Linked DNA regions of Macaca fascicularis. The protein of the gene in region 3 interacts with the protein of the main gene of each other region in a biochemical or structural test. Links are inferred from orthologs where the notes say so. Each region holds a gene or a part of one and is shown on either strand. Other genes may lie near its edges.

Region 1 (10,046 bases), on a different chromosome or scaffold from region 3:
GGGTCAGGCGGAGTCACGGAGTCATTGTCCCTGAGTGGGGGAGCTGGAGCCTGACATGGGGGGAGGGGCTGCCCAGTGTGGAGGGGCTCCCAAATGGGGGAGCAGAGTGTTCCGAGACAGGAATATAATTGTTCCTGAGCCCCCTGTGTCCCCTCAGGATCAGGTTAGGCTTCAATAGGATCCAGCCCCCATCCCCACTCCAAATGCACACACGTGGACCCACATGCACTTACACAACCCTCTGAGGCAGGTGGAACCAGCAGCACGAGAACCTGGAGAAGCTGAACATGCAAGCCATCCTCGATGCCACAATCAGCCAGGGCGAGCCCATTCAGGAGCTGCTGGTCACCCATGGGAAGGTACCCCGAGGTCACAGGCAGGGTTCCTGCCTTCCCCCATACCTCACCTACTCTAACCCTCAGGAGTCCCCTGTGTGCTTTTCCCCTCTGGCCTGGTACACCTGTCCTCCCTGAAGGGGAGAGAGGAATGTGTTACATGTTTCATTTTGTGTCGCTGTTGGACAGGACTCTGGCACACCAGGCTAGGTACAGGGCATGAGTTGATTAGGGAGAAAGCTGTAGGTCCTAAAACAGCTTAGGCTTCGAGGGGAAGGCCCAAATGCTAAAGGCATCTGTGAATTGACTGTAAGGCTGGGGAGGGGGTGGGGAGGGCAGGAGGGAGGGGAGATAACTTAACTGGAAGTAGAACTTTGGCATGGAAGGAGGCAGCCTTCCTAACATGAGAGGGGAAAGTTAGAAACCAATGAGATGGCTGGCTGGAACATGGACCAGGGAGTGTCACCAGCAGATGACCTGAGATATCAATTGACCAAAAAAAAAAAAAAAAAAAAAAAAGCCAGGCATGGTGGCTCATGCCTGTAATCCTAGCACTTTGAGAGGCCAAGACGGGTGGATCACCTGGGGTCAGGAGTGCAAGGCCAGCCTGACCAACATGGTGAAACCCTGCCTCTACTAAAAATACAAAAATTTGCTGAGCATGGTGGTGCACACCTGTAATCCCAGCTACTCGGGAGGCTGAGGCAGGAGAATCGCTTGAACCTAGGAGACAGAGGTTACAGAGAGCCGAGATCGTGCCACTGCACTCCAGCCTTGGTGACAAGAGTGAAACTCTGTCTAAAAAAAAAAAAAGAGTTCCTTTGCAAGAGAAAGGTGGAACTCATACAAGGGGATAGGATAAGAAGAACAGGGCACTGTGAAGGGTCCTGAGTAAGAGTGAGGCCAAAGGCACACAAGAGCCTTAGAGAACCACAGGACAGGGACAAGAGGGAGGGCATGAGCAGAAGGGCTGACTTGAAAGGGACGCCTGAATGGGCGGGGAGAGGATAACGGGGCAGGTGCAGGCAGGGCAAGGCAGTCTGGGAACTGGGCAGGAGCCAGTCACATAAGCATGAGGGACATCCACAGAGGTGTTGGGAGCAGCTGGAAACGAAGGTCCGAAATGCAAGAGAAAAGTCAGGAAGGATAGCCATGGGGTTTGGGATAGTTTAGGGGCCCAGCAGTGTTTGGGGAGATCTGGGCTGAGCTGAGCCAAGCTGGGGATGGGAGGGTTGCCAGGCAAAGGTAGGCCCATCTCATCCCTGTCCTTTACCCCATCCTTCAAAGGTCCCAACACTGGTGGAGGAGTTGATCGCAGTGGAGATGTGGAAGCAGAAGGTGTTCCCCGTGCTCTGCAGGGTGGAGGACTTCAAGCCCCAGAACACCTTTCCCATCTACATGGTGGTGAGCTGGGCCCCTGGTTCATACCTCCTCCCACTCCTTCAGAGGGCTCTGGACTGGGGAGGGGAGCTGGTAGCCCCTATCCCTACCACAGGCCCTGTCCCTCTCTTTGTCTGTCAGGTGCACCACGAGGCCTCCATCATCAACCTCTTGGAGACAGTGTTCTTCCACAAGGTGAGGGACTATCTCTGCCCATGGGCCACAGTTTCAGGTCAGGGCCTGGCAGGAAGGGAGGTTGTATCTGTGTGGGGAGGGCATCAGACACAGAAAGTTTCCCTCCCCCTTTCCCCAGGAGGTGTGTGAGTCAGCAGAAGACACTGTCTTGGACTTGGTAGACTATTGCCACCGCAAACTGATTCTGCTGGTGGCCCGGAGTGGCTGTGGTGGCCCCCCTGAAGGGGAGGGGTCCCAGGACAGCAACCCCATGCAGGTGGGTTGAGGTTACCTAGGATTGTGAAAGCCTAGGTCTGGGTTCCCCAAGGCCTGCACAGGCAAGGGTAGCCCAGCATGAACACTGTGTGACCTCGCAGGAGCTGCAGAAGCAGGCAGAGCTGATGGAATTTGAGATTGCACTGAAGGCCCTCTCAGTACTGCGCTACATCACAGACTGTGTGGACAGGTGGGCAGTCCGACTGGGCCTGGGCCTACCGTGGAGGGCTGGAAGACTGGGCCTGTAGCCTGCCTCTGCTCACCTCCTTCACAACGTCCCTGCCCCTAGCCTCTCTCTCAGCACCTTGAGCCGTATGCTTAGCACACACAACCTGCCCTGCCTCCTGGTGGAACTGCTGGAGCATAGTCCCTGGAACCGGCGGGAAGGAGGTAGGGTCCTCCCACACCAGCCTAAGCCCCAGGCTACTGCTTCAGGATATCTTTTTGATAGAGGGGGCAGTTTGCACACACGAAGACAAACCCCGTCCCCAAGCCCATCTGAGGATACCAGGATGCCTCAGCCAAGAGTGGCCTAGACCTGAGCTCTGCAGCAGGCCAGGCCCATGTGTCCACTACTGAGGCTCACTCTGCTCTGGGGTCAGCAGCATTATAGCCTGGGCAAGTCCTGTGGCCCAGGTTCTCCCACCATTCCCAGGCAGTGGTCAGTCTCCCAGGCCCCACAGCTGGCTCACTTGAAGAGAATGCAATGCCTGTACCCAGTGTGCTGGTTCCTCTCCCCAGGCAAGCTGCAGCAGTTCGAGGGCAGCCGTTGGCATACTGTGGCCCCCTCAGAGCAGCAAAAGCTGAGCAAGTTGGACGGGCAAGTGTGGATAGCCCTGTACAACCTGCTGCTAAGCCCTGAGGCCCAGGCGCGCTACTGCCTCACAAGTTTTGCCAAGGGACAGCTACTCAAGGTCGGACTCCCTCTGCACCAGCCCCCACAGCCCCAGCACCGCCCTCCCCATCCTACCCTGACCCTGTCCCTGCTGTTTATCTTTGCCCACCCACCTCAACCCCCGTGCTCTTTTCAGTCCTTGGGCCTCAGGTGACACACCAGCTAGTGGGACATGGACCCCCACAGGCATGCTCAGCCCAACCCAGCCCCTTCCTTTTCCGTGGCCCCCTGGCCAGCACCTGCATCACACTGGCCTCCACTGGACACTCTTGCAGCTTCGGGCCTTCCTCACAGACACACTACTGGACCAGCTGCCCAACCTGGCCCACTTGCAGAGTTTCCTGGCCCATCTGGCCCTGACTGAAACCCAGCCCCCTAAGAAGGACCTGGTGTTGGAACAGGTAGACACTGGAAAGTTAGCTCCTCAGGACCACTGTCCTACTTTACCAGCACCTTCCTGCCACTCTCCACTCCTTTCCCTAGATCCCAGAAATCTGGGAGCGGCTGGAGCGAGAAAACAGAGGCAAGTGGCAGGCAATTGCCAAGCACCAGCTCCAACATGTGTTCAGCCCCTCACAGCAGGACCTGCGGCTGCAGGCACAAAGGTAAGTCCTGTGGAACTGGCAGGAGGAGTGGATGGGATGCAGGAGGCATGGATGTGGGCAGGGATGCCCCCACCTTCCAAGGCCAGTCAGACCTTCCTGACTTTCCCCCAGGTGGGCTGAGACCTACAGGCTGGACGTGCTAGAGGCAGTGGCTCCAGAGCGGCCCCGCTGTGCTTACTGCAGTGCAGAGGCTTCTAAGCGCTGCTCGCGATGCCAGAATGAGTGGTATTGCTGCAGGTGAGGGTATCCTAGGACCTTGGACCCCTAAGTCCTACTGCCACATCCCCCACATGCACTGCCCTCCTCAACACCCACCTGCCTGCAGGGAGTGCCAAGTCAAGCACTGGGAAAAGCATGGAAAGACTTGTGTCCTGGCAGCCCAGGGTGACAGAGCCAAATGAGGGTTGCAGTTGCTGAGGGCCAACCACCTATGCCAAGGGAATCCACCCAGAATGCACCCCTGAACCTCAAGATCACGGTCCAGCCTCTGCCGGAGCCCCAGTCTCCGCAGTGGAGAGCAGAGCCAGCGGTAAAGCTGCTGACCCATCCCCCTCCTCCCCACCCCAAGGGAAGGCTCGAGACTTCCTGCCCCACCTGGTGGGCAGGCCAAGTGCGTTGCCTCAGCAAACTGGGCCAGGAGGGCGAAGGCCGGATGTGGGGACCCTCTTCCTCTAGCACAGTAAAGCTGGCCTCCAGAAACACGGGTATCTCCGTGTGGTGCTTTGCGGTCGCCGTCTTTGTGGCCATCCGGGGTGGGGTGTGAGGAGCGGACGAAGGAGGGAAGGAAGGGCAAGGCGGGGGCTCTGCGAGAGCGCGCCTAGCCCCGCCTTCGGGCCCCAGAGTCCCCGCACCCAGGTTTCCATTGCACGGCTCTCCTCAGCTCCTTCCCGCCTCCCAACTTAGATCCTGGGGGCGGTGCTGACGTCGGGGCCCGCCCTGTGGCCCCGCCCGGCCCGCTCTTGCTAGCGCCCAAAGCCAGCGAAGCACCGGCCCGACTGGGCCATGTCGGCGGAGCCTGAGCTCATTGAGCTGCGGGAGCTGGCACCCGCTGGGCGCGCTGGGCAGGGCCGCACCCGGCTGGAGCGTGCCAACGCGCTGCGCATCGCGCGGGGCACCGCGTGCAACCCCGCACGGCAGCTGGTCCCGGGCCGTGGCCACCGCTTCCAGCCTGCGGGGCCCGCCACGCACACGTGGTGCGACCTCTGTGGCGACTTCATCTGGGGCGTCGTGCGCAAGGGCCTGCAGTGCGCGCGTGAGTAGCGGGCCCCGCGCGCCTACGAGAGCGGAAGGGGCAGCCAAGGGGCAGCGCCGTCGCCGCGGGTCAAGTCGCGGCAGAGGTGGTCGGTGGGGACAGCTCCCGAGGACTAGGTCCGTTACTTTCGCCCCATCGCTGAAGAGTGCGCGAAAATGGTTTATCCCTTGTCGCACTCCACTCGTATATGGGGCACAGATGAGCAGAGGTGGCAGCTTATATGTAAAAATATGCTGATTTCAAGTTTCTTATCTTTAAAATGCCTTGGCCTTTCTTGAGAAAGGGTTTGTGCCTACTGTCCTCGGAGTCCATCTTCCCAGGCTTGCCTCTTCTCAAACATTCACTCACTGTGACCCCCTCCAGAACCTTTGGGGTGAAGGGAAGTTACCCACCTATGGGAGGGAGCCTGGAAAAAGTTAGAACCTTGGGTGTGCCCCCTGCAAGCAGGAGTTTTGTTGAGTATTTAGCAAACACCCTTGAATCAGAAGCTAAAATATGGAAGGCAGCCACACACCCAGCAGTCCTTCTGCACCCCTGGGAATCGCCAGCAAGCAAAGGTTGCTCTCCCCTAGCTAGACACCAGCTGGAATCACCAGGGGCGCTTTTACAGCCCTCCCACCCTCTAGCCTGGATGCCACCTCAGACCCATTGAATCAGCTGCTGGGAGTGGACTCAAGGCAGCAGTAAATTTTTTTAAATCCCCACATTATTGTAACATGGAGTCTGGGTTGAGCATCAGTGCTCTGACCCATTTAGGAACTAGTGGATAGATGGTGTCCCAGGTCTGTATGTGCATGGAGACCCTCTCATCTGGTACAAGAGGACATCACAAATTCAGCTGGGGGGAGCACAAAGTTGTGACAGAATACAAAGAATAAACAAGGGCCGAGCACGGTGGCTCAGGCCTGTAATTCCAGTACTTTGGAAGGCCAAGGCGGGTGGATCACCTGAGGTCAGGAGTTCAAGACCAGCCTGGCCAACATGGTGAAACCCTGTCTCTACTAAAAAATACAAAAAAATTAGCCAGGCGTGGTGGCGGGTGCCTGTAATCCCAGCTACTCAGGAGGTTGAGGTGGGAGAATTGCTTGAACCCAGGAGGCGGAGGTTGCAGTGAGCTGAAATCACGCCACTGCTCTCCAGCCTTGGGGACAGATTGAGACTGTCTCAAAAAAAAAAAAAAAAAAAGAAAGAAGGAAGGAAGGAAGAAAAAGGCTGGGACACTGCAGCATTCTCAAAGAGAAATAAAGTGGCCATAGAGATAAGAAGCAGGATGATTTGGGCATGTTTATCAGAGGTAGAGACAAGGGAGGAATCAACGATAAGTTTGGGTTTTTGTTTCCAGTAACCGGGAGCATAGTGGCCATTTTTGCTGCAAAGAGGAAGCTGGGCAAGGGTAGCAGTGAGGTGGAAGAAAAGGGAATTAAATTTTGGCCATGTTCACTTGAAACGTCTTTTAGACATCCTAGTGAAGGTACTGGCACGGAGGATCTAATCTGAGGGTTTAGGTCAGTGTTTCAGCTGTGGATCTGGGGCAGAAGATTGTGTAGACAGACCAGGCCAGCGATCAGGACTGAGCCCAGACTTCATCATGAGATACGGAAGTTGAGTCAGAATCTGCAAAGGAGCTGAGCAGGAGCTGCAGGGGGGTAGGAGGAAAACTGGCAGTGTAGCCCCTGGGAGTCAAAGGGAGCAAGCTTCAAATGATGCTGAGTGGGTGAGAATGGAGAATGGAACACTGCATTCCATTTGGCAGCACATAGATGGCTGAGGACCCTGTCCTGGGCAGTTTCCTGGAGGGAGAGGCAAGCCTGGCTGAAGTGGGTAGATGGGAGAGTGAAGGCGAAGGATTAGAGTGTATAGAGACCAATGTTTTGGTCTGAGGGGAGTACAGACAGATGACAACCAGAGGGCAGAGGTAGGTTAAAGGTGTTTAGTTTTTCCTTCAAGTAAATGGGCAGATGTATTCCATAGAAGTTCCCAATGAAGGGCCGGGCGCGGTGGCTCACGCCTGTAGTCCCAGCACTTTGGGAGGCCGAGGCGGGTGGATCACCTGAGGTCACGAGTTTGAGACCAGCCTGGCTAACATGGTGAAACCCTGTCTCTGCTAAAAATACAAAAATTAGCGGGGCGTGGTGGCGGGCGCCTGTAATTCCAGGTACTCGAGAGGCTGAGGCAGAAGAATCGCTTGAACCCAGGAGGCGGAGGTTGCAGCGAGCCGAAATCGCGCCATTGCACTCCAGCCTGGGTGACAAAAGGAAGACTCCGGTTTTTGGTTTTTTTTTTTTAATTGCCAATGAGGAAAGGGGAAGCTCTGTGCTAGGCGACAGAGATCCCAACTGTTGAGCAGGCCTCTGCTGTGGCCTTCCGGCCGGTTTCCAGACACCCAGGGTGGCCAACATTAAAGTCCGCATAGCAGTGTGAGGTAAAACACTGAAGCCGGGCCTGCGGAGCCTGGCGGGCAACGGCCCTCTTCCTGGGGCTTCCCTTCAATCTCCCGGACATTTCCCCGACCTGGGGCTCCTCCGCCTCACGGCTAGGCCTCTCTGCAGATTGCAAGTTCACCTGCCACTACCGCTGCCGCGCGCTCGTCTGCCTGGACTGCTGCGGGCCCCGGGACCTGGGCTGGGAACCCGCGGTGGAGCGGGACACGAACGTGGTGAGCGCGGGGCCGAGGGCGTATGGGAAGGGCGAGGACGGGCAGGCCACAGCGCAGGCATTCTCGAAGACTGCCTGGGTGCTGCGCGCAAGGAGCGTTCTAAGTGCCGATTTCCCGGCGGCAGAGAGAGGCTAATTCTGAGCGAGGGCTGAGAGGGGTGCCTGGATTGCCGGCTCCGCAAGGCCTCCACTGGCTGCTAGCAGACCCCAGCCGCTAGCAGTCCCCGGCCAAGGCGGACGCAGGCTCCGCGCACGCGCACTTCCCGCACCTTCCCGCCCTCGCCTCCGGCCAGAGGCCACCCTTGTGCGCTTGCGCGGACGCTGGCACCCGCCCCGTTCCCTGTGGTAGGTGGGGTCTCTGAGTGGAGCTGCCGGAGCGATGAGGTCATTCCTCGGGGCTAAGTGTGCGTGTCCCCGCCCCGGCGTTCCTCCCCCAATGACACAAGAGCTAGATCCCGGCGATCTACGTTTCAGTCTTAACGGTTGCGGCGCGGCGCTGGCCCGGGCGCACGCGCACACTGACACGCGTACACGCACGCACGCGACCGGGGCGGTGGTTGGCGGCTACGGACGCGCGGGACCAGGGGGACGGGCGGGTGCGGCGATGGGCGAGGCGGAGACGCCTTCTTTCGAGATGACCTGGAGCAGCACGACGAGCAGTGGCTACTGCAGCCAAGAGGACTCGGACTCGGAGCTCGAGCAGTACTTCACCGCGCGAACCTCGCTAGCGCGCAGGCCGCGCCGGGACCAGGTGGGAGCCCGGGGGTGCCGGCGGGGGACGGGAGGCGATTGCTGGAGCTCCGCCCTCCCCGGTCCGTTGCCGCGTCCTGGGTCGGTGGGCAGCCCCACCCTCCCGGCTACGTGGCTCCCCGCGTGTCCTGGCCGGTGGCCTGCCCGCAGAACCGTGTGTAAGACCCCGATTCCACCGCCTCGATACTGGTTGCCTGGGCCCCCATGGTTTCTGTCACAGACAGGTTGAACAGGGAAAGCAGCTGTGTGGCTTGTGGTAGACCTGAGCCGGGCATTATCAAGCTATGACTAAAGCCGACCGAGCAGTCTGGACTAGCACCTCGATTTCCGCGTTCAGATGCTCCTGCTCCCTCCTTGGGGAGACTAGGGGAGGAAGTGGAGAGGGAGGAGTCCTCGCCAGGAATTGAGAAGTATGTTTAGGAAAACTGAGAGGCAGAGAGAGATCCTGCTCCTCCATTTGCACTCCTTTACGGAGCCAGCTGAGCCCTCACCTCTTCCCTGTTCTGGCCTGTCACCAGCTGCTGGAATGTGAAACATTTTGATCCCTTCCTCTAGGGTGGATCTGGAGAAAGATTTGGAAATAGGAAATAGGATAGGAAAGAAGTCTTATTTTGGACCATAAGCATTCAGGAGCACTTTACCCACAAGAAGGGGGAAGGGTAGATTATAAAATGCCTAAAGAGGTGGAAAGAGATCCAGGTTACTAACCCAGGACTGTAAGGTGTCTCGGAACCTCCTAGGTATCCCCATTATTAGAGAACTCTGTGCCAGATGCCATGGGTGTGACCACCAGGCTCAGAGAACCAGGCCCAGGCACCAGGAAAAAGAAATAGGGAATGTGAAGCTCAGTATGCCTGGCAGCAATGGGGCGGAAATCCTTATTTAAGTGAAGAAAGTGGAGTTGTGAGTGATGCTTTGGATAAAATTTTACAAAATTCCTTACAAAAGGGGTGGTGCTCAGCACCCCAAAATCTTAGCCCAGAGCTTGGGTGCAAGGGTTGAGTGTAAACCCCTGGGCTTGTCTTCATGTCACTCAGTCCTGAGCCATTTTCCACTGTGGGAAGGTGGGAAAACCACAAGACACTAACCAATTGAAAAGGAGGGCTAGGCCGGGCGCGGTGGCTCAAGCCTGTAATCCCAGCACTTTGGGAGGCCGAGACGGGTGGATCACGAGGTCAGGAGATCGAGACCATCCTGGCTAACACGGTGAAACCCCGTCTCTACTAAAAAATACAAAAAAAAAAACTAGCCGGGCGAGGTGGCGGGCGCCTGTAGTCCCAGCTACTCGGGAGGCTGAGGCAGGAGAATGGCGTGAACCCGGGAGGCGGAGCTTGCAGTGAGCCGAGATCGGGCCACTGCACTCCAGCCTGGGTGACAGAGCAAGACTCCGTCTCAAAAAAAAAAAAAAAAGAAAGAAAAGGAGGGCTAGCCACGGAGGCACACACCTGTAATCCCAGCTACTTGGGAGGGTAAGGCAGGAGGATCACTTGAACCTGGGAGGCAGAGATTGCAGTGAGCCAAGATCGTGCCAATGCACTCCAGCCTGAGTGACAGAGCGAGACTGTCTCAAAAATAGAAAAGGAAGCCAAGTGCGGTGGCTCACACCTCTAATGCCAATGCTTTGGGAGGCCGAGGCAGGCGGATCATTTGTGATCAGGAATTCGAGGCCGGCCTGGCCAACATGGTGAAACCCTGTCTCTACTAAACATATAAAAATTAGCCGG
Region 2 (9,939 bases), on a different chromosome or scaffold from region 3:
AAGGGCAAGGCCTCCTTGGGCTTCCACCTTCCCCACAGCTTTCATGTGTGATGCTGAACTACAGCTCCATGACTCATCCTTTTCCCACTGTACCACCCCTTATTGAAAATGAGGCCTGAATTCCTATTATGTGTTACCTGCTGGGCTAGGTTGGGTGTTTTCATTTCTAATTTATTCTAACCCAAAGAGAAGATAATTTGGCAAAGACGTCTGTGTGCACCTTAAAGCCAGTGTCCAGATCCCAGGACTTAGGAGTTTGGGACTTGTTTCTACCCCCTACTGGCTCCCAGTATGACTTTAGACAAGCCCAAGCCTTGTTTCCTCCCCTGAACAATGTGAATGAATGATTCTTGCCTAGCCCATTGCACAAAGGGGTAATATTTAGGGAGACGGGACAGAGGATAGGCAAATTTATTCATCAATGCCAAAGCTCTGTGTGGCCCAACCACCCTGGGGGCTGACCCAGCCAGCCTTACCTTCAGGGCAAACCAGCCGGAAATGGGGAAGGTGACCAACAGCAGCAAGAACCCCAGGAAACTGATGAGGCCATGACAGAGGCAGGAGGGCCAGCTCTGGGGTGCATCTGCAGGTGAGAGCAGAGATGGTCAACTGGACCTGCCATGACAGCTGCAAGTAGAGTGAACTTGGGCAAGCGTACCTTACGTCCACCTTCCCCTCGAGAGGCTCCTTCCTTCTCAGGGTTCTCAGTCTGGCTCCTTGCCTAATATCCCCATATCTTTGGGCAGCTGCGAGTTAGGATCTGTTCCCTCCTCCCATACATCAATACTCATTTGTCCCAAGTCCAACAACCCTCACAAGGCCTTATTCTCTGCTAGGCAACAGTCATCAATCTCAGAATCCAGTCCAGGTGATGATGCTCTCCTCACTGGACTGAGTAGGGGTCAATCTTCTCGTTTAATTTATATTGCCTACTCATACCTGGCATGCAGCCAGGAGCACCTGGGCATCTGTAAACATGCACTGAATATTGCTGGCAAAACACATTCCTCCTATACCATTAGCCCTAGAAGTATGCTTTCCAGGAGTCCTTATGAAGATGATGCCTTAGCCTACAGGGATAGAGCATAAATAGCTTATCAACAGGAGCCATAAATGAGGAATAAGATTATTATTTTCTATTCCTCACCCTACTTTAATGCCTTAATGACCATTTAAAAATGTCTGTTTCACGAGATTGCGCCATTGCACTCCAGCCTGGGGGACAGAGCGAGACTCTGCTTCAAAAACAAAACAAAACAATAAAAAAACAAAAAACAAAAAAAACCTGCCTATTTAAATTCAAGAAAATTGTTAGGGGTCAGGGTCAGGGGCAGGGCTAGAAAGATGAGGCTTATCCAAGCCAAATGTCCTGGCCCCTGGAGAACCAGGATGGGAGCGCAGCCAAGACAGCTCCAGAATCTGGGATGAGGTTATTTGCTGCTTTCCTTCCCCCAACCCTGGACAGGAAGCAGTCAGGAGCCCCTGCTCCATTCTTCAAGGAAGCCCTGCCCTCTGAGCTAATCCCCAGAGCACTGAGGCTCCACTTTGTGCCTGGCTCTGATCCCCAGGCCTCTCAAGAGAGTTCTGGATACGGAGATCTTTCAGGACAGGAAGGCCAGGGAGGGATCAAATCCAAGGTTAGGCGGTCAGGCTGAACAGTGTGGGATCTGGCCTCTAGGCCAAAGGAGCCACAGAAGACTTTGAGGGCAAGACAGAGGCAGGGCAGATCCAACAGGCAGCTGAGGACCAGTCTTTTTGGCCTGCACATCCAGGAGATGCCTAGTTCCCGGGCTTCTAGAGGTGCCCCCTAAGGTGAAAATACTTCCATTTCTTGGCAGCAGGTGCCTTTAGGGTGCTGGCGGCCTCCTCTGCCTAGACCTCGGTTTCTTCTATGCGAAATAGAAACCTGAAACGTCTTCCCAGGCCTAAAGGGCTAATAAGAACCGAGGACAAATGTGGTGAGGTGAGGTTTTGGAAGATAGGAGCAACGCTGGCTGGCTCCAGGGCCACCGCCCCGTGACCCTAGGGAGGGCGTATCAGCGCTAGCACCAGGCGCCGGGTCCAGCCCCCTCTCCACATCGTATCCCCTTCTCAGTCCCCCCTCGTAGGGTGCGATGACGCCGGGCCGGCCGACTCCTCGGAGGCAGAGATTTCGGGCCTGGGGGTTGCCGGCCGGTCCCCCCCGGGTCCGCCGTGCCGGGCGGCCACTCACCGGCCCCCGTCCCCACGCCGCCCCGCTCCGGGGACAAGCAGCCCTTCTGCGAGCCCAGAAAGCCAAAGCTCGACTGCTGGAAGCGGTCAAAATCCCCCAGGGGCAGCGCCCGGTACCCAGACCTGCCCAGCATGGCTTTTGACAGGAGACACGCCCCGCACGCCACACGGCGCCCTCCCTGACCAGCGGGCCCTACGCGGCCCCGCCCTGCTGGCTGCTGCTTCCGGCTTCACCCACGCTGCCACCCGCTGCAGCGGCGGGCGCAGGAGGAGGAGACTGGCCGGGGCCCGCTCCCGCTGTCGTATGGCGTCCCCAGTGCTGGGAGGACCGAACTGCAGCCGAGGGCCAAGGGGTGTGATCGGTGTTCCCGGGAGCACGCTGGGGTCGTCGCCTCCTCCCGTCTTCTACTCAGCCTTAGAAAAGCTAAAGGGGAAGCTGGGCACGGTGGCTCACGCCTATAATCCATCAGTTTGGGAGACTCAGGCAGGAGGATCGCTTGAGGCCAGGAATTCAGGACCAGCCTGAGCAATACAGTGAGAGCCTATCTCTACAAAAAATTTTGAAAAATTAGCCTGGCGTGGGGATGCCTGCCTGTGGTCCCAGCCACTTGGGAGGCTGAGGCGGGAGGATCTCTTGAGTACAGGAGTTTGAGGCTGCAGTGAGCTATGATCGTGCCACTGCACTGCAGCCAGAGAGAGAGAGCAAGATCTCATCAGGGTTTACAGGAAGCGAATCTTCTCCAGGATCAAGGACATGCTATTATCAGCCTTCTCAGCACTCCTTCTCGCACACTGGAGGCAGGGCATGCCATATCTGGACTTTGGGTTTCTCTGGGACATAGTCTGCAAATTATTCCTCTTTGTGAACCCATAGCCCAGCAAGCAGGGACTGGCATAGGGCAGATCTCAGTACTTATTTGTTAAGTAATGGCCTAGCCAGGTCACCGTGATCAAGGTGGAGTAGGAAGGCCTGAACTTTGGCACAAAAAGAAAGAAGTTTCACATGCAGACCTCGGGGAGCATGGAAGTGTAAGGAAGAAGGGGGTAGCACAGAGCCACATGAGGGCAGGGGCCCCAGAGCACCACAGAGGTGAGGCCCTCAGTCCTGCAGGTCTAGAAACAGCATGCCCCTTGATCTAGGTAGCTGAAATTAACTGGCCTCTCCAGGGCTTGAGAAAACCTGAATGCAACTTGCGAATTTACTTTGAGAAGTGTTAACTTCCAACAGAACTCTGGGGTAGTCTGGGAGCAGGCTATCTTTCAAAGCAAGCAAATAAATGAATAAAGCTTCCCCAGCTCTGCCTCCTCAGCCAATCGCCTCTGGCCTCCAAAGCCCCATCCTGCCATAGCCCACTTCCAGGTCCCTTGTGCAGATGGCTGCCCACCATATTTGGCTTTCATGGACTGATTCTCTAAAGGCCTGGGAGTACTGACCAGGCTGGAGGGAAGGGCAGGCTCCTGAGGCCTCTTACAGTCCCTAGGAAGTTGGGTATCCACCCAACCCTTGACCTCCAGCCCGCATACTATAAGGTTTACAAGAGCCAGGCCCTATCATCATCCTTTCTAGTCTGTTTCTAAGTTGGAACAGAGTACAGAATGGGTACACAGGAGCCAGCACAGTGGTTGCGATGGTTTAAGTTTGAAGCCAGGGGCACTGGCCCAGTGAGGTCACCTGGAGCTGTGCCCTTTCCCCCTCACCAGCTGGGAGTCTGGCATGCTTTTCCACTGGTGAAGACCTACCTGGCTCTCCCCTCTCCCTCTTCATACCCGCTCTCCAGCTCTCCCCCTCCCTCCTGCCCCCACCACCTCACATCCACCAGCCTTTCCAGCTGTCACTCAAGGCGTCACCCTGCTCCCTCACCTCCAGTCACTGGCTTCCCAGGATCTCTGACTCAAGACCCTCCTCTGCATCCCACAGCCACTGTCCTAGACAAGGGTATGTGCCCCTAGGTTGTTAGAGTGACCGTCCCATCATGCACAGCTGATCATGTTGTTTCCTGGTTCCAGATCCTTCACCAACTTCCCATCACTCCCAGAACTGGTCCAATCTCCTTAGTTAGGATCTTGTCCCAGCACACTTCTTGGGCATCATTTCTCATGAATTCCCTCTTAAATCTGAAAACGGCCAAAACTAGTTCCCAAACAGGCTTTCGTGTTTCAAACTTCCATGCCTTTTGCAAGAGCTATCTTTCGTGTTTCCAGTGTCCCCTGGACCCCACCACCTACAGCCCTGAATCCCTGGTGAATTCCCACTGCTTTTTCAGGTCCCAGCTGAGGGCTCTCCTTTCCAGAATGTCTCCGTTTGCAAGCTTGCTCTTCCATTACATCTGGGGCTCTTAAAAAGCAGGGGCTGCGTGTGGCTCATCTTTGTGCGCCCAGCTCCCGGCAGGAGGTGGCACGAAGCAGTGCCAGTGTGAACTGATGAATGGATCAAACCCGGGGGCGGGGCTGCCCCTCTGCAGCTCTGCCCTGCCTCTCCCGCTTTACCGTAAGCCAGCAGTAGGTCTGCGGCTCCCCGCCTCTCCTTCCTCCCCGCTCTGGGCGTGTCTTTAAAACCCACAGTCGGCCTCTCTGCCCCTAGAACCGCCCCCAGTTTGTGTCTCACTTCCTCTCCAGAGGCGGGCCCTGAGCTGGCACCTCCCCTTTCGGACAGCTCAAGGGGCTCAGCCAACTGGCTCACGCCTCCCCTTTAGTTTCTTTTCACGCCCTCCAAGATCTAAACCGAGAATCGAAACTAAGCTGAGGTCCATGGAGCCTGCACCCGCCCGATCTCCGAGGCCCCAGCAGGACCCCGCCCGGCCCCACGCGCCCACCATGCCTCCCCCCGAGACCCCCTCGGAAGGCCGTCAGCCCAGCCCCAGCCACAGCCCTACAGAGGTACTATTGGGTTAGGGGATGATGGGGTTAGGCTTTGTTGGTTTGCTGTGGTGGGGAGAGTGGGGAAGAGAGGGTCTAACGGAGGATTTGGTCAAGTACGCTAGAGAGTGACACAAAGCGGGAAGACCACACACCAGGGTCCTGACCTTCTTGGCTGGGGCATGGGAGGGTAGGATAGAGTAGAAAAGAGGACCCGGAGGAGTTGGGGCGGCCTCGCTGGGCTGCGGTTTCTCCACGGAGCAGTTGGGCAAGGTGAGAAGGGTCAGTGGCCTCCGGGCCTGGGCCCTTCCGCCCACCCTCGAGCCCTGGTCAACCCTGCCTCAGATGCAGGACCACAGATTAGGGAGGATGGAAGTGGTAGCCCTGTTGCGCTGGCCTGGAGCCAGGAGCATGTCCCAGGCACAGCAAAACTAAAACCAACTTCCCAGATCCGAGGTGAGAAACTGTGGCTCAGACTGAAGAGGTATCTTTGCCAAGGCCTCCCAGCTCATGTGGTTTCTGCTTAAGGAAGCCTCCCTAACAAACCCTTCTCTTGCCACACCTGTCCTGCCTACCTCCCACCTCCACCCCCAAAGGAACTACTTGGGTTTCTTGTTCTGCTGTCTTCCAGGCCCTTTTGCTCCCCTTCATGAAAGTACAGAGGACACTGTATTACAGTAACTTTTATAAGCATTATTACAACTAAGAATAACATTACTTAACAACACTAGCTAACATTTATGAGCACTTCAAATGTGCCAGGTACTGTATTAAGCACTTTGGTTTTTTGTTGTTTGTTTTGTTTTGTTTTTTGTTTGTTTGTTTATCTGTTTGTTTTTGAGATGGAGTCTTGCACTGTCGCCCAGGCTGGAGTGCAATGGTGCGATCTCTGCTCGCTGCAACCTCCTCCTCCCGGGTTGACGTGATTCTCCTGCCTCAGCCTTCTGAGTAGCTGGGATTACAGGCCACACCACTATACCTGGCTGATTTTTATATTTTTAGTAGAGATGGGGTTTCACTATGTTGGCCAGATTGGTCTCTAACTTCTGACCTCGTGATCTGCCCAACTCGGCCTCCCAAAGTGCTGGGATTACAGGCGTCAGCCACCATGCCCGGACTGCTTTTGTATTTTAAAAATTGTGGTAAAATATACGTAACGGATAAGCTCCTATGTTAACCATTTCTAAGTGTAACGTTCAGTGGCATTAAGTAGATTCACAATATTGTGTAACCATCACCACCATCTATTTTCAGAACTTTTTAATTGCTCCAGAAACTCTGTACCCTTTAAACCATAGGGGAGGGAAAGATGGCTTCCCTCCACCCTTCTAGTTTCCTTGGCTGGGCTATGAATTAAATAGTCATAAAATAGATTAACAGGGGGAAAACCCATATTTAATTACATATGTATACTCAGGAGTCCCACAAAGTATGAGACTCAAAGAAAGGTCAGATGATTGAAGCCTATATAACATCCTGATCCACAGAAAAGAGCTTGGAGCTTCTGGGTGGTGGTGATGACACAAGTTATGGGAGGGTGAGGAGAGGAGCTGTTGTCTTGCTATGTAGATAAAAAGTTCTTAGATAATAAGAGTTGTCTGGAGCAGCCCTCTTTTAATATAGACCATTTTACTAATGTAGATTTTCTTTGGGATGCAAATGCCTTTCTGTTTTACAAAAGGAGAGCTTTTCAGAGCTATTCCTGTATCAGCAGTTTCTCAGAATAACCAGCTTAAAATATGCCAACAAAGTATATTTCAAGGGTGGCATATTCTGGCCTCCTGCAGTCATATTTTGAAGTGGTGTGTCCTGAGTCTCAGTAAAGCAATAGCTCCTCATTTTCTCCTTCCCCTAGCCCTTGGTAACTTCTAATCTACCTTCTGTCCCTACGAGCTTACTTATTCTAGATATTTCATATAAGTGGAATTGTTACCAGTAGACGGTCTTGACCGCAAGTTGTTCAGGTTCTTGGCGTTTTGAACAAAGAATTGGACAAAATGCACAGCAAAGCAAGGAAAGAATGAAGCAATGAAAGCAGAGATTTATGGAAAATGAAAGTACACTCCACAGGGTGGGATGGGTTGGAGCAGGGCTCAAGGGCCCAAGTTACAGAATCTTCTGGGTTCCAAATATGCCCTAGAGGTTTCCCATTGGCCACTTGGTGTTCACCCCATTGGTTGTAGAAAGCAACCAATCAGAGGTGCTTTCAATTTTCCATCTGCCAGGCAGGAAATGGGGTGTTTTGCAAAGAGAGTAGCCTCTGGTCCTTTTGTTACTTGGGCGTGGAGAGTTCGGGTTTTCCTTTGGATTTAGTTCTAGGAAGTCAGAGGGAATCGGCCTTAGGTTCCCTGCCTCCAGACCCTATTCTCCTGCCTCAGAATCATACAGTATTTGACCTTTTGTGTGTGGCTTATTTCACTTAGCATAATGTCATTGAGGTCCATCTATGTTGTAGCATGATCAGAATTTCATTTCTTTCTAATGCTGAATAATATTCCATTATATGTGTAGACCACATTTTGTTTATCTATTCATCTGTTGATGGATACTTGGATTGTTTCTACATTTTGACTATTGTGAATAATGTTGCTCTGGACATTGTTGTACAAGTATCTGTTTGGGTCCTTGTTTTTAGATCTTTTGGTTATATATGTAAGAGTGAAATTGCTGGGTCATATGATTGTTCCATGCTTACCTCTTTGATGAACCCCCAAACTGTGCATTAAGCACTTTATATGAGGTTGGTACTTACTGTATCTACCTTCCAAACTGAGTTCCTTGAAGGCAGAATGTATCCTATACCTCTTATATCTCAGGGCCTAGTACTGTGTGTGATGAGTAGATGCTCAATAAATGGTGCAGTGAGAGCAGGAGGGCCTGAATAAGTGGGAGTATTGGGGTGCTGATAAGCCAGGGTTTTGCATCATCCAATGACTGGCTGGAATGGAATATGAGGTCCTACTCCAGGCTCCAGCTGTAAGGGTGGTTGGCCAGTGGGTGGGGGCTCTTGGGACTTCTCCAGGCCTCACCCGCCTCTCTGGTCCCCCAGCAAGCCCCCTCTCCGGAGGAGGAGTTCCAGTTTCTGCGCTGCCAGCAATGCCAGGCTGAAGCCAAGTGCCCGAAGCTGCTGCCTTGTCTGCACACGCTGTGCTCAGGATGCCTGGAGGAGTCGGGCATGCAGTGCCCCATCTGCCAGGCGCCCTGGCCCCTAGGTGCAGACACGCCTGCCCTGGATAACGTCTTTTTCGAGAGTCTGCAACGGCGCCTGTCGGTGTACCGGCAGATTGTGGATGCACAGGCTGCGTGCATCCGCTGCAAAGAGTCCGCCGACTTCTGGTGCTTTGAGTGCGAGCAGCTCCTCTGCGCCAAGTGCTTCGAGGCACACCAGTGGTTCCTCAAGCACGAGGCCCGGCCCTTAGCAGAGCTGCGCAACCAGTCCGTGCGTGAGTTCCTGGATGGCACCCGCAAGACCAACAATATCTTCTGCTCCAACCCCAACCACCGCACCCCTACACTGACCAGGTGAGTGGGCTGGCACAGGGTGGGATGGTGCATCCAAGAACCAGGTAGAGGTGAGAGGAGCAAAGATCCAAAGAGTCACACAGCTGAGGACAAGGAGCTTCTGGGGCCTTGCAACTCTAAATGTGGTCTGCAGATATGCAGCATCCGTGGTGACGACCGCAATTTATGCTGCCAGTCCCCACGCAGGTGGATAGTAAGTTTCCAGTTTCCTCCTGTAATAAATAATGCTGCAGAATCATCTTTGCATTGTTATCCAGTAATTTCTTCAGGATAAATTTTTAGAAGTGCCACTGCTGGCTGTAGGGGGACAGAAATTCTACATTTGATACATGTTACCAAACTGCCCTTTAGAAAGTCTTCGAGTGAAATTTTCCATGAGCGCTGACAGAGAATCTCAGTAAGGCTGGATTCTAGGATCAGAGGCAGGTAGGTAGTTTCTGTCTGAAAAGTTGAGACCATTAACACCAGGCAGTGCTATCTGAGAGTGTCTGTATGGGAAAAAAAAATCACATCCAGTTGTAATTGTTTTTATTAAACAGATTTTAATTCAGTTTTTTAATAGGTAATACATTTGTACAGTTCACGAACAAAATTTATAAAGAGGAGAGAGAGAGTGCAGTCTTCTGTCCATCCTCAACTGTCTAATTCCCACCACTTCTCCCTCTTCCCATCCACAGGTAGTTTTGAATGTTTCTTCTGAGAGTTTCTTTATGACTATATATGCAGGTAGCAGCAGTCTTCTCAGGTCCTATTTTCCCTCTTTTAGCCAAAATGGTAGCATAACTATGTGAACTTTCAACCATCAGAAATAGATTGTTTATAGAAGGCTCTTCTTGGTTCTTAGGGATCCACTTGCAAAATGGAAGCATTTTTCCCTTGTTTTTGACAACTCAGAACTATATATGGCTAAACCACATACCTGCTAAACTACATATCTGCTAAACTGAGTGTGGTTTGTTTCCTGCTTTAGGATAAACTTCCCCCACTATCAGAATAAGCTTTCCCCTCTGACTTCTCAACAGCTGGTATCACCACATTTCTTAGCTTGTTGTAAAGGTTGAGTGGCTTTCCACTTGTTTATTGGCCATTGTGTTTCTTCATTTGTGAATAGCCTGTTTAGGTCCTTTGCCTGTTGTTGTTGTTGTTTCCTTTGAGGAATTAAGGGATTAATTAAGGAATTCAGGAACAAATTCCTCGAAGGAAAAAAATTTATGCGTTTCTTTTGCTCTTACAATTTGTGCAGTTTTAAAACTTACATATTCATTGGATTTTGATTGAAATTGCAATAAATTAGGGGAAATTGGCTTTATCTCTGGTTATATCTTTTGGATTTAAAAATTTTTTTTAATT
Region 3 (10,130 bases):
CCCCCCACTGCCAACGACAGGGGCTGGGAACACAGGGCCACCTCCTCGACGCTCCCCACTGCCCACTGCAGAAGCTGCAAATGCCTCTTGAGAGGAAGATGAGAAATCAGTGGACTCCCTGGGGCTGAAGTAGTTGCTGCTGCTGGGAGATTGATTCTCACTGGCCCGGCTGGAGGCATGGGAGCGTGCAGAGCCCATGGTAGCAGGGGCCACAGTGCCCCCACTCCCGGATGGGACCCCAGCACCAGGGACAGTGACAGAGGTGGCTGCAGCAGTAGTGATGGTGGTGGTAGCTGAGGCCCGGCCTTCTCGGAGTAGTTCAGTGCACTTGTCCACAATGTGCCACATTTGGAGCACAGACCCCACTGTGAGGAAGTTGACAATGTCAGCAGCAGCCATGCTGAGGCGGCCAGTGTAAGCGGAGGCTAGGACAGTCTCAAAGGCGCCTGGGTCCATGACACTGGGCAGTGAGATGGAGGTCATGCCCTTGAGTAGGACCTGATCATGGAAGTAAGGGGAGGAGGCAGCCAGGACAGCCCGATGAGCCCGGAACTCACGGCCCTGCACTCGGATAGACACATCGCAGAGCTGGCCCTGCAGACGCTGCTGATTGAGGGACTCCAGGAGGGCACTGGTCACCTCAGGGAAGGACACATGTACCACCGCAGCTGCTGGCAGGGGTAGTGGGGGCGGAGCCAGCGACAGCGGCAGGGGAAGTGCTGCCCCACTGGGAGACAGAGGAGATGGCTCCATGTTGTGGAGGGAGGGGATACCCCCCCAGCCACAGGAACAAAGAAAGGAAGAGGGCGGCCGGGGGGGTCTCTGGGAAGAAAAAGAGAAAAGAATAATGATAACATCTTATAACGACACAGCCCATTACAACTCAAAAATATGTTCACACCCATTATCTGTGTAACTCCCCACAACAGTGAGGTAGGTATTCCTCTCAACCCCATTTGACAGATGAGGAAACTGAGGCTCAGAAAGATTACAAGATTATCCAAGGTCACACAGCAAGTGGCACCGCCAGCAAACACAGGTATCTGACAAATCCTGTGCCCTTTCCTTGGAGGTTAGAGAAATAAGGTGCTCTTAGCGGGTGGAGTGGCTTCCTTCGGAATTACACCCTATTTCCCATTTACCTGGGAGTCTGACATTCCAAAATCTACCTTTTTGGTGTTTTGCACCCACTTTTTGGGAGGGGGCAGGGCAGCTCCGCTACTGAAAACCAACTCTTGCTCCATCTCCCCTCCATGCTATGCCCCGCAAGCTCTCTCGTCGACCACGCCCCCTTCACCCCAGCTTCTCTCTAGCCCCGCCCCTTTCCAGGCCCGCCCCCGTGCCCCGCCCACTATCGGGCCTTTCGACCCCGCCCCTTGTCTACCTCCGCCCACAACGGACCCCGCCCCCCCCGCTCCGCCCCAGGCGCTACCTCGGCCTCTTCTCCCACTCGGAAGGCGCCCCCCAACCTCGCGCGTCCCCGCTTACCGGGCCGCGCGCCCCCGGGCCCCCCCCGCCCCTCACTCGGCGGGCAGAGCAGCAGCCTGGGCCCCTCCCGCCGCCATCTTGCGCCGACTTCCTCCGCCCTCCGCCTCCGCTCCGCCTCCCGCCCCTCTGCCTTTAAAGGCACAGCCGGCCACCCCGCCCGTGCCGCTGGGCAATACTCGGCCGACTCGGCTACTTTGCCTTTAAAGAACCGTCGCCTCATTCCACCTTAAAAGATCAGATTCCCCCTCCTCCGCTGGGAACTCAGGACTTGGTTCGGCCGAAGCATTTATTCCCCTTTAAAGCTATAAGCCTGTCTTTTCCCATTGGCGATGGGTTCAGGTATCGTTCCCCAGGCTCCGCCTCTGAGCTGTGACCATTAGCTGGTTGGTGGGATCTAATCGCCCTTTTCCTAGCTCCTTACAGCCCCCTGAAGCCCCGCCCCCTTTCTCCGGGCCTGGATTGGCCAAATAACCTTGAGTCGGCCCCTCATTGGCTTTTTCACTCCTACTGCACGAAGTGAAAAAGTAAAGTGCGTTAAGGCGGCTGAAGCACTTAAAAAAAAAAAAAAAGTACAGCCTGAACAACATGGCGAAACCCTGTCTCTACAAAAAATACAAACAACAAAAACAAAAAATTAGCCAGGTATGGTGGCACGCGCCTGTAGTCCCGGCTACTCGGGAGACTGGGGCATTATCACTTGAGACTGGGAGGTCCAGGCTGCAGTGAGCTGTGATCGCACCACTGCACTCTGGCCTGGGCGACACAGCGAGACAACAACAACAAAAGACCAGGCTAGAAAGGACAGATCGGGACTACCCCGGGGATATTGGGCTAACCCTGAGCAAGGGGACAGCTAATGCCAATCTGTAACAGTAGAAGGACAAGAAAAAGACAGTGATACAGTAAGAAAAGAACTTTATTATTAATGTTTCTGTGTAAAACTTAAGCTTTTTTTTTTTTTTTTAAAGAAACACCACCAAAAGGGGATTAGCTTAGTCCATCCCTTCCTCAGTCATCTGCTTCCCACATTCCTCCACATGCTATCCCAAAACATTCTGGAGGCAGGGAGAAGGGGAGGCAGCTAATCAGAGTCTGAGAGCACGATGATCTCTTCTGGATCGCATTGTGTGGCCACACTTGTCTGCAGGGAAGTCAGAGACAAAGAGTCAGAGATCTAGAGTACAGGAGAAAAGAAACAGACAGGAGGATTTACAGGATAAAACGGGTGGGAAAAAGAGACAGGATGTGGCAGGTGCAATATTCAGACAGAGCAGCTGAAACAGACAATGAAAGAGAACAAATTATCAGAGGAAACACGGCCTCCCCTTCTTACCTTGTAAGTACTGGGCCGAGGAGGTTGTGATTGGGGGGTTTGGGACAGCTGGGCTGGAGAAGGGATGCAGAGGGAGCTGGTCACCAGGCCATGGCTGGGAGAGTCCACCCTCGTGGAGGAATCAGCAACCGGGGCCAAGGAAGCCAAGGGGGAAGGTGGGCTGGGCAGGGTACATATCTTTTTCCCATTCTTCTCATGCACTGACCTTTGCCTTTCCACATAGCTAGAAACCGAAACATAAATATGCGGAGGGGTAAGGGAAGACTGAGGCTGGAGGAGGGCAGTCCAGTCTCTCCCAGCAGACTCAGTTCCCCAATATTCCTCTCCGAAAGTCCCCTGCAATCCCTCCTTGGCTTCCCTCTTCCTCCTCCTGTTGTTATTACCTGTTTCCTAATGGCCCTGATCCTGTTTGCTTCTTCTCCTTCCGAGATTTTTTGCAGGGGGGACCAGAATCTCCCCAGTTGTGAGGAGAGACGCCTCCATTGAAGGAAGTAGAAGAGACCATGCCTGCCCCATTCTCTAAGACAGTGGTGAAGGGCTCCTCTGATTGCTTCCTGGAAGAGGAAATGTCCATCTCCACAGAGGAAGGGGTATCCAGGGGCAAAGCTTCAATCTCTAGCTCAAAGAGCTGAGACACAGGGCTTTCTTCCTCCAGGGTCAGCTCCTCAGGCTGTTCTCCATTGCTTTCAGCATCTATGCTGGAGGGGGCCAGGGGTTCTTCTGACAGTAACAAGGGTGACACTTTGTTTTGCTGCTCCCCTGAAGACCTGCTGATCTGTTTGCCAGGTTCCAGGTTCTTTTCAGTGGAGATCTGTGGTGAGGACATGGGGCTCCCGTCTCCATCTTTACCTGGAAAAGAAGAAAAGGGGAGAGGGTAGCCCGAGAATGAGGGGAAAAAATACTGCTGAGAGGACACTAGGAGGAGGAAGGGAAAGGTCTCAAACAGGTGGCTTATGCCTAACAAAAACAAATGACAGGTGAGGAGAATGTTCCCTTGACATACCTGCTGCTTCTTCCTCTTCCTCCTCCTCTTCATCATCCTCCTGACCCTCCTGCATCTGTTCCAGATCCTCCTCCTCTTCAGAATCTGTGGCCTCCTCCTCTTCTTCTTCTTCCTCCTCCTCCTCCTCATCCTCCTCCTCTTCCTCATCACTCTCTTCATCTTCTTCGTCATCTGTCTCAGCTTTGGAGGCAGAAGGGCACCCCTGGGATGCCATTCCACTAGGGCCCTGGGGGACAAAGAAGTTTCTCTAAGGAATCCCTTGCCCTAGAGGGTTTGGTTCTTGCATTCCTTCTCATGCTCCCCCATCAGTCAACCTGGACTCCCTGGTGGCCAGTGCAGGGGAAGGACAATGTCTCTCTGAAGGCTTTACCCCATCCACACCTCACCAGAATCCAAGGAGGCGGGGGTGTCTTCAGAGTGGGAAGAGGTGCCTTGGAGCCGAGCTCTTCTCTTTTTTCTCTCGCCCTCCTCACTTTTGTCTTGCAACATTGCATATTTGGAGATGACCTCATCCAGCCGACTCATGGCCAAACTCCGGTTTTCCCGAAGGCGCCGGGCCAACACAGGATCTGATAGTGCAGGGTCAATGCCTACGTGGGAAAATATAAAGTCAGAGCACTCAGCCGTGGAAGGGACTAGAAGAGTACAAACCCTAGAAAGGACTAGAGAGATGCCCCATCCGCCTCATACCTGACATATAAGGGTCACTGAGAGGCATCCCACTAACCCCCTACCTGGCCTATAGTCATCTGTGAGGTGGCAGCCAAAGTTGTAGATGAGATCGAGGTGACGTCGTTCCTGTAACCTGATGCCCACATCTCGGAAGGCATCCTGAGCCATGAGCTGGAGCTGCTGTCGGGGGAGGCCAAGGCTGTGTCGGGCAGCTGCCTTCTCTACTGCCCGAAGCACATCCCCATAGTCAGGGAAGGTATCAGGCCCTGGCTTGTTGATGAGCCGCTCAATGCGCCTGTTAACCTCTGGGTAGCGGGTGCCACGGTAGGTGATGCGCTGCTCTATGACACGGCCGGTCAGTGAAGAGCAGTCTTTCAGCTCACATAGTCGCCCAAAGAGGCGGATCAGCTTACGCTTCAACCGTGCCTCCTGCAGGTATGTGGAGTCTGGGTCATCCAATTCTGAGAGATCCAACTCCTTTTCCTGCAGCCGCCGGATCTCTGCCACATAGAGCGCCAGCAGCTGCTCCAAGCGCTGGATCTGCCGCCGGGAACCACGGGTCCTTGGGGCCTGAGAGGCAGTGTTTTCAGCGTTTGTGGGGTCCAAGGAGAGGTGTGTGGGAGGGTTATTCCCAGAGGGCTCATTGGACGTGGTGGCAGCAGGGGCCAAGTTCAGCTTCTTTTTGGCTGAGTGGGCCTTGAGAACAGTGCAGAGCTCATTGATGTAGACATAGAGCTTAGATGGCCGGCTCTGGGCCCGAGATAGGACCCGAGAGAGGATGTTGCAGAACTCCGCCGAGGCCAAAAACAGAGAGTGGGCACGTTGCTGCCGGTTAGAGAGGAATGGGACCACCTCAGGGTGGTCCGCTGTCTGCGTCTTACAAAGTTCAAGGAACTAGAAGGTTCAGGGGAAGAAGGAAGGGGAAGAGAGACAAGGGAGGGGGTTGAGAGAAAGGGGAGTGGGGTTAGTGGGGAAGAAAGGACAGGAGAGCCAGTCAGCCATCCCCCTCCCTGGGGTACAACGATCTTCCCCGCTAAAGCTCACCTCTTGGAACAGCTTCTCATTCTCCAGCTTGTAGCACTTCTTGCCGCCCGAACTACTGCTTCCTCTGGCCCCATGAGGCTCAGAAGAGCTAGGGGCTTCTGCCCCTGGTGAGGCTGTACTGGGGAGTGGGTGGGAGGGCCCTGGCTGAGCAGCTGCTTCATCTTCGTCATCATCATCCAGCACAATGATGCTGTTAGCGGTGGCCATGGGGGAATCAAATCCCCCGGAAGGAGGAAGTGGTGGGGATTTCAGAATTCCTGCTGGAAGGGGATGGGGCCTCAGAATGAGCCCCTCCAGCATAGCCCCATCCCTTCACCTCACGCATTTTCTGAACTCCTTGGGTTTCAGCCCTGACCAACACTGTCTTCACCACCTGATTTCAATAACCATTAGTTCTATATGCTTTTCGGGCCCTTCAAGTGGTGTGTGGGGGGGGCAAACCCCCCCACACCTTAAGTTGCCACCTTCTGCTCCACCCCTCACGTCGATTTCCGGTCTTTCTGTTGCATTTCCCCACTCTTTCTCAGAGTTGGCAAGTTGGTTCTTTCTCCCACACTGCACCCTAAATCGTCCTGACACCCCCTGGCACAGACAACACACTCCTGTGGGCGCCACCTCATGTGTTTGCCCCCTCTGCCCTCAAACAAGTCAACCCCACACCCGCCCCATCCTGATCACCCCAACTCCTAGACTCTCTGAGGTGAAAGAGGTTCCCTCCCAACAGTCCGTTCTCTTTTCCCCTCCTTGAATTATCTCCGTATTTCACCCTCAGATGAGTCTCCTCAAACTGGGCCTTTAGGTTGAAGATATTTTACCCAAGTCCCCTCCCTTTCACCCCACCCTAATTTTCCCCATTCTCTCGGAGACCTGTAACTAATTAGAAGTCCCCCCGCACCGCGCTACGCTCTCCCGATTCCTCTTAGATCCCAACCCTGGGTCCGGCCGGTCCGGTAGATGCGCTTCCCGCCAAATCCCCCTCCCCCAGTTCAGCCCCCGGCCGCCCCACTCCCTTTCAGGGATAGGAAGGTACCACAGTTTTCCCCTCAGACTCAGAGCCCGGCTCTCCCCAATACCTCTGCCTCGATATCCCCGCCCCCGCCTCTGATCCCCGCACCATCCGGCCCCCACCTCAGAAACCGTCTCTCGAGGCGACCCTCGCCGCAGATCTCAGAACCTCGCATGGTTCCCTCCGCCTTCCTTCCCACTCCCACCGCAGGCCCCACTACGGACCGGAAGCAACAGAGTTTCCGCCTGCATGCAACTAAGCGCCGCCATATTGTCGTACGGAACAAGGCTTCCTGTGGCCGGAAGCGGCCGTAGGCCCGCCCCGCGAACACCTCCAGTGCCGCCCACATAGTCAGCGCGGTCTTCCAGGTCGGAGTTTGTCTCCCCGAACCCGGGCGTCCCAAAGCAGCTGGGGGCCGCCATTTTGCCGTACGGCGCTGGCTACGCCAGAACTTCGGTGCGCAGCCGGAGGAGCTCTTTTCACCCGGTGCTTCTCTGACTCCGCCAATCAGAAACTTCCTCCCTGGGGTCCAACCGCCGGCGAGTAGCGCGTGGGGAGAACGGAGCCTCCTTTCCAAGGAGGGGCAGGGGAACCGAACAGGGTGGTTTAGGAATTGGGCTTTCCAAAGCTGCGTAGGGTTTCAGGGAATGGCAGAAGTCTCTTAAAAGGGAAGTAAAACCTTTATCTTCAACTAGGCTATTGGCAAGCTATCTGGCCCTGCTTTCCTGTCCCCCAGGTTCCCATTTCCACGGCTTATTCGGCTGACCCAGCCCCTTCCCCTGCAAGGGCGGCGCGCTCCTTGCCGCTGTCCAGCAGCTGCTTCTACTGCCAGGTGCTGCGTCCCACAGTCGTTATAACACATGCGTACAAATAAGCACAATGCGCCATACAAAAGTGTTATTATTATTACTATTGTTGCTGATTTGCTTTTCAAGCTTCACCACAGAACTAATGACCAGACGGTTGGGACCTGAATGGTTCTCCTCCAGAGGGGGTCCTCGAAGGGCCGTCGGTGCTGACTGTGAGGCCGTGCTTTGTCGTGGAGGCCCAGGGTCTGCGGATGGGCGATGATGGGGTGGGGCTTGGAGGAGAGTTTGAGCCTCTGCAAGGGCTGCTGTGAAACGAAATGAGGCTCATAAAATACTTTGGGTTTCCTCCTCCTCTTCTGGGAGAGGTTAAAAAAGAATGAAGGATGAAGAAACAGACTTGATACCCACCTCGTTGAGTTTAGGGAGGTTGGAGGGAGTCGTGGAGGCAAGGCTGGGTCCAGAGGTGAGCTTATGAGGAAACCAGAAAGATTAACAAGGTCCCAATCGCAAAGATTCCCATTTCCACAAGTGGTGGGCATCTTGCCGCTTAACTAGGTTCACAGAATTTACTACATCCCTAACGCTGAGTCATAGAATCGCAAACACCCGTCCATTGAACAATCCCACATCACTTCTCTCCAGTCGTCAAAGTCTACAGCTTTCAAAATGGGGAACATAAAAAACCTCCGCGAGGACTGGAACTTGGGAGATGTAAGGGATTTAATTTCCAGAACCTCAACTTTCCCAAAATTGGTCTTCCTAAGGAAACACCTGCAGTACAGGTTCTCATTCTTCACTTCTCCTTTTACAATAGAGACACCCTCTTAAGAAAAAAGAAAAGAATAGTTCTCTCTTTTTCCCCTCCGCCCTCAAAAGTGTAGTTCTCAACCATGAAATCTCCTGGGGTATTCTTACCTGTTTAAAATAAAGGGAGATGTACCCTGTTGAACACCTTTTCTTTTTTTTCTTTTATTTCCTTTCTTTTTTTGTTTGTTTGTTTGTTTTTTTAAAGGCAAGGTCGGCCGGGCGCGGTGGCTCACGCCTGTAATGCCAGCACTTTGGGGGACCGAGGCGGGCGTATCATGGGGTCAAGAGATGGAGACCATCCTGGCCAACATGGTGAAACCCCGTCTCTACTAAAAATACAAAAAATTAGCTGGGCGTGGTGGCAGGCGCCTGTAGTCCCAGCTACTCAGGAGGCCGAGGAAGGAAAACCGCTCGAACCCGGGAGGCGGAGGTTGCAGTGAGCCGAGATCGCATCATTGCACTCCAGCCTGGGCGACAGAGCGAGATTATCTCAAAAAAAAAAAAAAAGAAAAGAAAAAAAGGGTCTTGCTTTTTTTTTTTTTTTTTTTTTTTTGAGATGGAGTCTTGCTCTGTCGCCCAGGCTAGAGTGCAGTGGCCGGATCTCAGCTCACTGCAAGCTCCGCCTCCCGGGTTTACGCCATTCTCCTGCCTCTGCCTCCCCAGCAGCTGCTGGGACTACAGGCGCCCGCCACCTCGCCCGGCTAGTTTTTTGGGTTTTTTTTTTTTTTGTATTTTGTGGTAGAAACGGGGTTTCACCGTGTTAACCAGGATGGTCTCGATCTCCTGACCTCGTGATCCGCCCGTCTCGGCCTCCCAAAGTGCTAGGATTACAGGCTTGAGCCACGGCGCCCGGCCAGCGTCTTGTTCTATCAACCAGGCTGGAATGCGGGTACGATCATAGCTCACAAGCCATCCTCTCACCTCAAGTAGCTAGGACTACAGGCGCACACCACCTCACCCGGCTAATTTTTTTAAAAAAGTTTTTTGTAGAGACCGGGCACGGTGGCTCATGCCTGTAGTCCCAGAACTTTGGAAGGCCGAGGCGGGCAGATCACCTGAGGTCAGGAGTTTGAGACCAGCCTGGCCAACATGGTGAAATCCCGTCTCTACTAAAAATACAAAAAATAGCTGGGTTTGGTGGCACGCGCCTGTAGGCCCAGCTACTCGGGAGGCTGAGGCAGGAGAATCACTTGAACCTGGGAGGCGGAGGTTGCAGTGAGCCGAGATCAGCCACTGCACTCCAGCCTGGCGACAGAGCAAGACTCAGTCTCAAAAAAAAAAAAAAAAAAAAAAAAGGTTTTCTTATAGCAACAGAGTCTCACTATGTTGCCCAGATGGATCTTGAGCTCTTGGCCTCAAGCAATCCTCCCACCTCAGCGTCTCAAAGTGCTGGGTTATGGGGTGAACCGCCACTCCCAGACTACTATCTTATTAAAAATTTATTTTTAACAGTTATAAAAATGTGTACCATCGGCCAGGCGCGGTGGCTCACGCCTGTAATCCCAGCACTTTGGGAGGCCAAGGCAGGCGGATCACAAGGTCAGGAGATCAAGACCACCCTGGCTAACACGGTGAAACCCTGTCTCTACTAAAAATAAAAATACAAAAAAAAAAAAAATTAGCAGCGCGTGGTGGCAGGCGCCTTGTAGTCCTAGCTACTCAGGAAGCTGAGGCAGGAGAATGGCATGAACCCGGGAGGCGGAGCTTCCGTGAGCCGAGATCCTGCCACTGCACTCCAGCCTGGGCGAAAGAGCAAGACTCCTTCAAAAAAAAAAATGTGTACGATCACATGTTTATAAGAACATTCTGTTCTTATAATAATTGTAACAGTTACTCCAGAATAATTTTTAACAACTAGAGTCTTACAAACACAAGAAAGATATTTTTCATCTCCATTAATATATATGTATATGCAGGAAGAGGTAAAAGTTTGGTCAATAAAGGACTTTCAAGTATAAAAGCATAAAG

The links.
Region 1: the proteins of DAXX (region 3) and RASSF1 form a complex in vitro, tested with the Homo sapiens proteins (4 studies listed by BioGRID and IntAct, with this or other methods). The link is inferred for Macaca fascicularis from reciprocal best matches to the Homo sapiens genes DAXX and RASSF1.
Region 2: the proteins of DAXX (region 3) and PML form a complex in vitro, tested with the Homo sapiens proteins (2 studies listed by BioGRID, with this or other methods). The link is inferred for Macaca fascicularis from reciprocal best matches to the Homo sapiens genes DAXX and PML.

Annotation. Positions count from the first base shown.
Region 1 is NC_088376.1:113,371,029-113,381,074, reverse strand, and holds the start of RASSF1 (ras association domain-containing protein 1), read left to right. Parts: upstream 1-4,626; 5' UTR 4,627-4,667; coding exon 4,668-4,917; intron 4,918-7,466; coding exon 7,467-7,573; intron 7,574-8,044; exon of another isoform or gene 8,045-8,176; coding exon of another isoform or gene 8,177-8,323; intron 8,324-10,046. Other genes in the region: ZMYND10 (zinc finger MYND domain-containing protein 10), read left to right, coding at 251-359, 1,623-1,739, 1,857-1,910, 2,029-2,166, 2,267-2,355, 2,455-2,555, 2,907-3,079, 3,336-3,461 and 3 more. UniProt on the Homo sapiens protein: Potential tumor suppressor. Required for death receptor-dependent apoptosis. Mediates activation of STK3/MST2 and STK4/MST1 during Fas-induced apoptosis by preventing their dephosphorylation.
Region 2 is NC_088381.1:50,914,207-50,924,145, forward strand, and holds the start of PML (protein PML), read left to right. Parts: upstream 1-4,929; 5' UTR 4,930-4,959; coding exon 4,960-5,088; intron 5,089-8,116; coding exon 8,117-8,589; intron 8,590-9,939. Other genes in the region: STOML1 (stomatin-like protein 1), read right to left, coding at 477-583, 2,213-2,345.
Region 3 is NC_088378.1:138,377,543-138,387,672, reverse strand, and holds DAXX (death domain-associated protein 6), read right to left. Parts: upstream 6,767-10,130; 5' UTR 6,722-6,766; coding exon 6,669-6,721; intron 5,801-6,668; exon of another isoform or gene 5,748-5,800; coding exon of another isoform or gene 5,731-5,747; coding exon 5,541-5,730; intron 5,391-5,540; coding exon 4,559-5,390; intron 4,415-4,558; coding exon 4,206-4,414; intron 4,051-4,205; coding exon 3,825-4,050; intron 3,671-3,824; coding exon 3,205-3,670; intron 3,045-3,204; coding exon 2,822-3,044; intron 2,630-2,821; coding exon 2,570-2,629; 3' UTR 2,387-2,569; downstream 1-2,386. Other genes in the region: ZBTB22 (zinc finger and BTB domain-containing protein 22), read right to left, coding at 1-753. UniProt on the Homo sapiens protein: Transcription corepressor known to repress transcriptional potential of several sumoylated transcription factors. Down-regulates basal and activated transcription.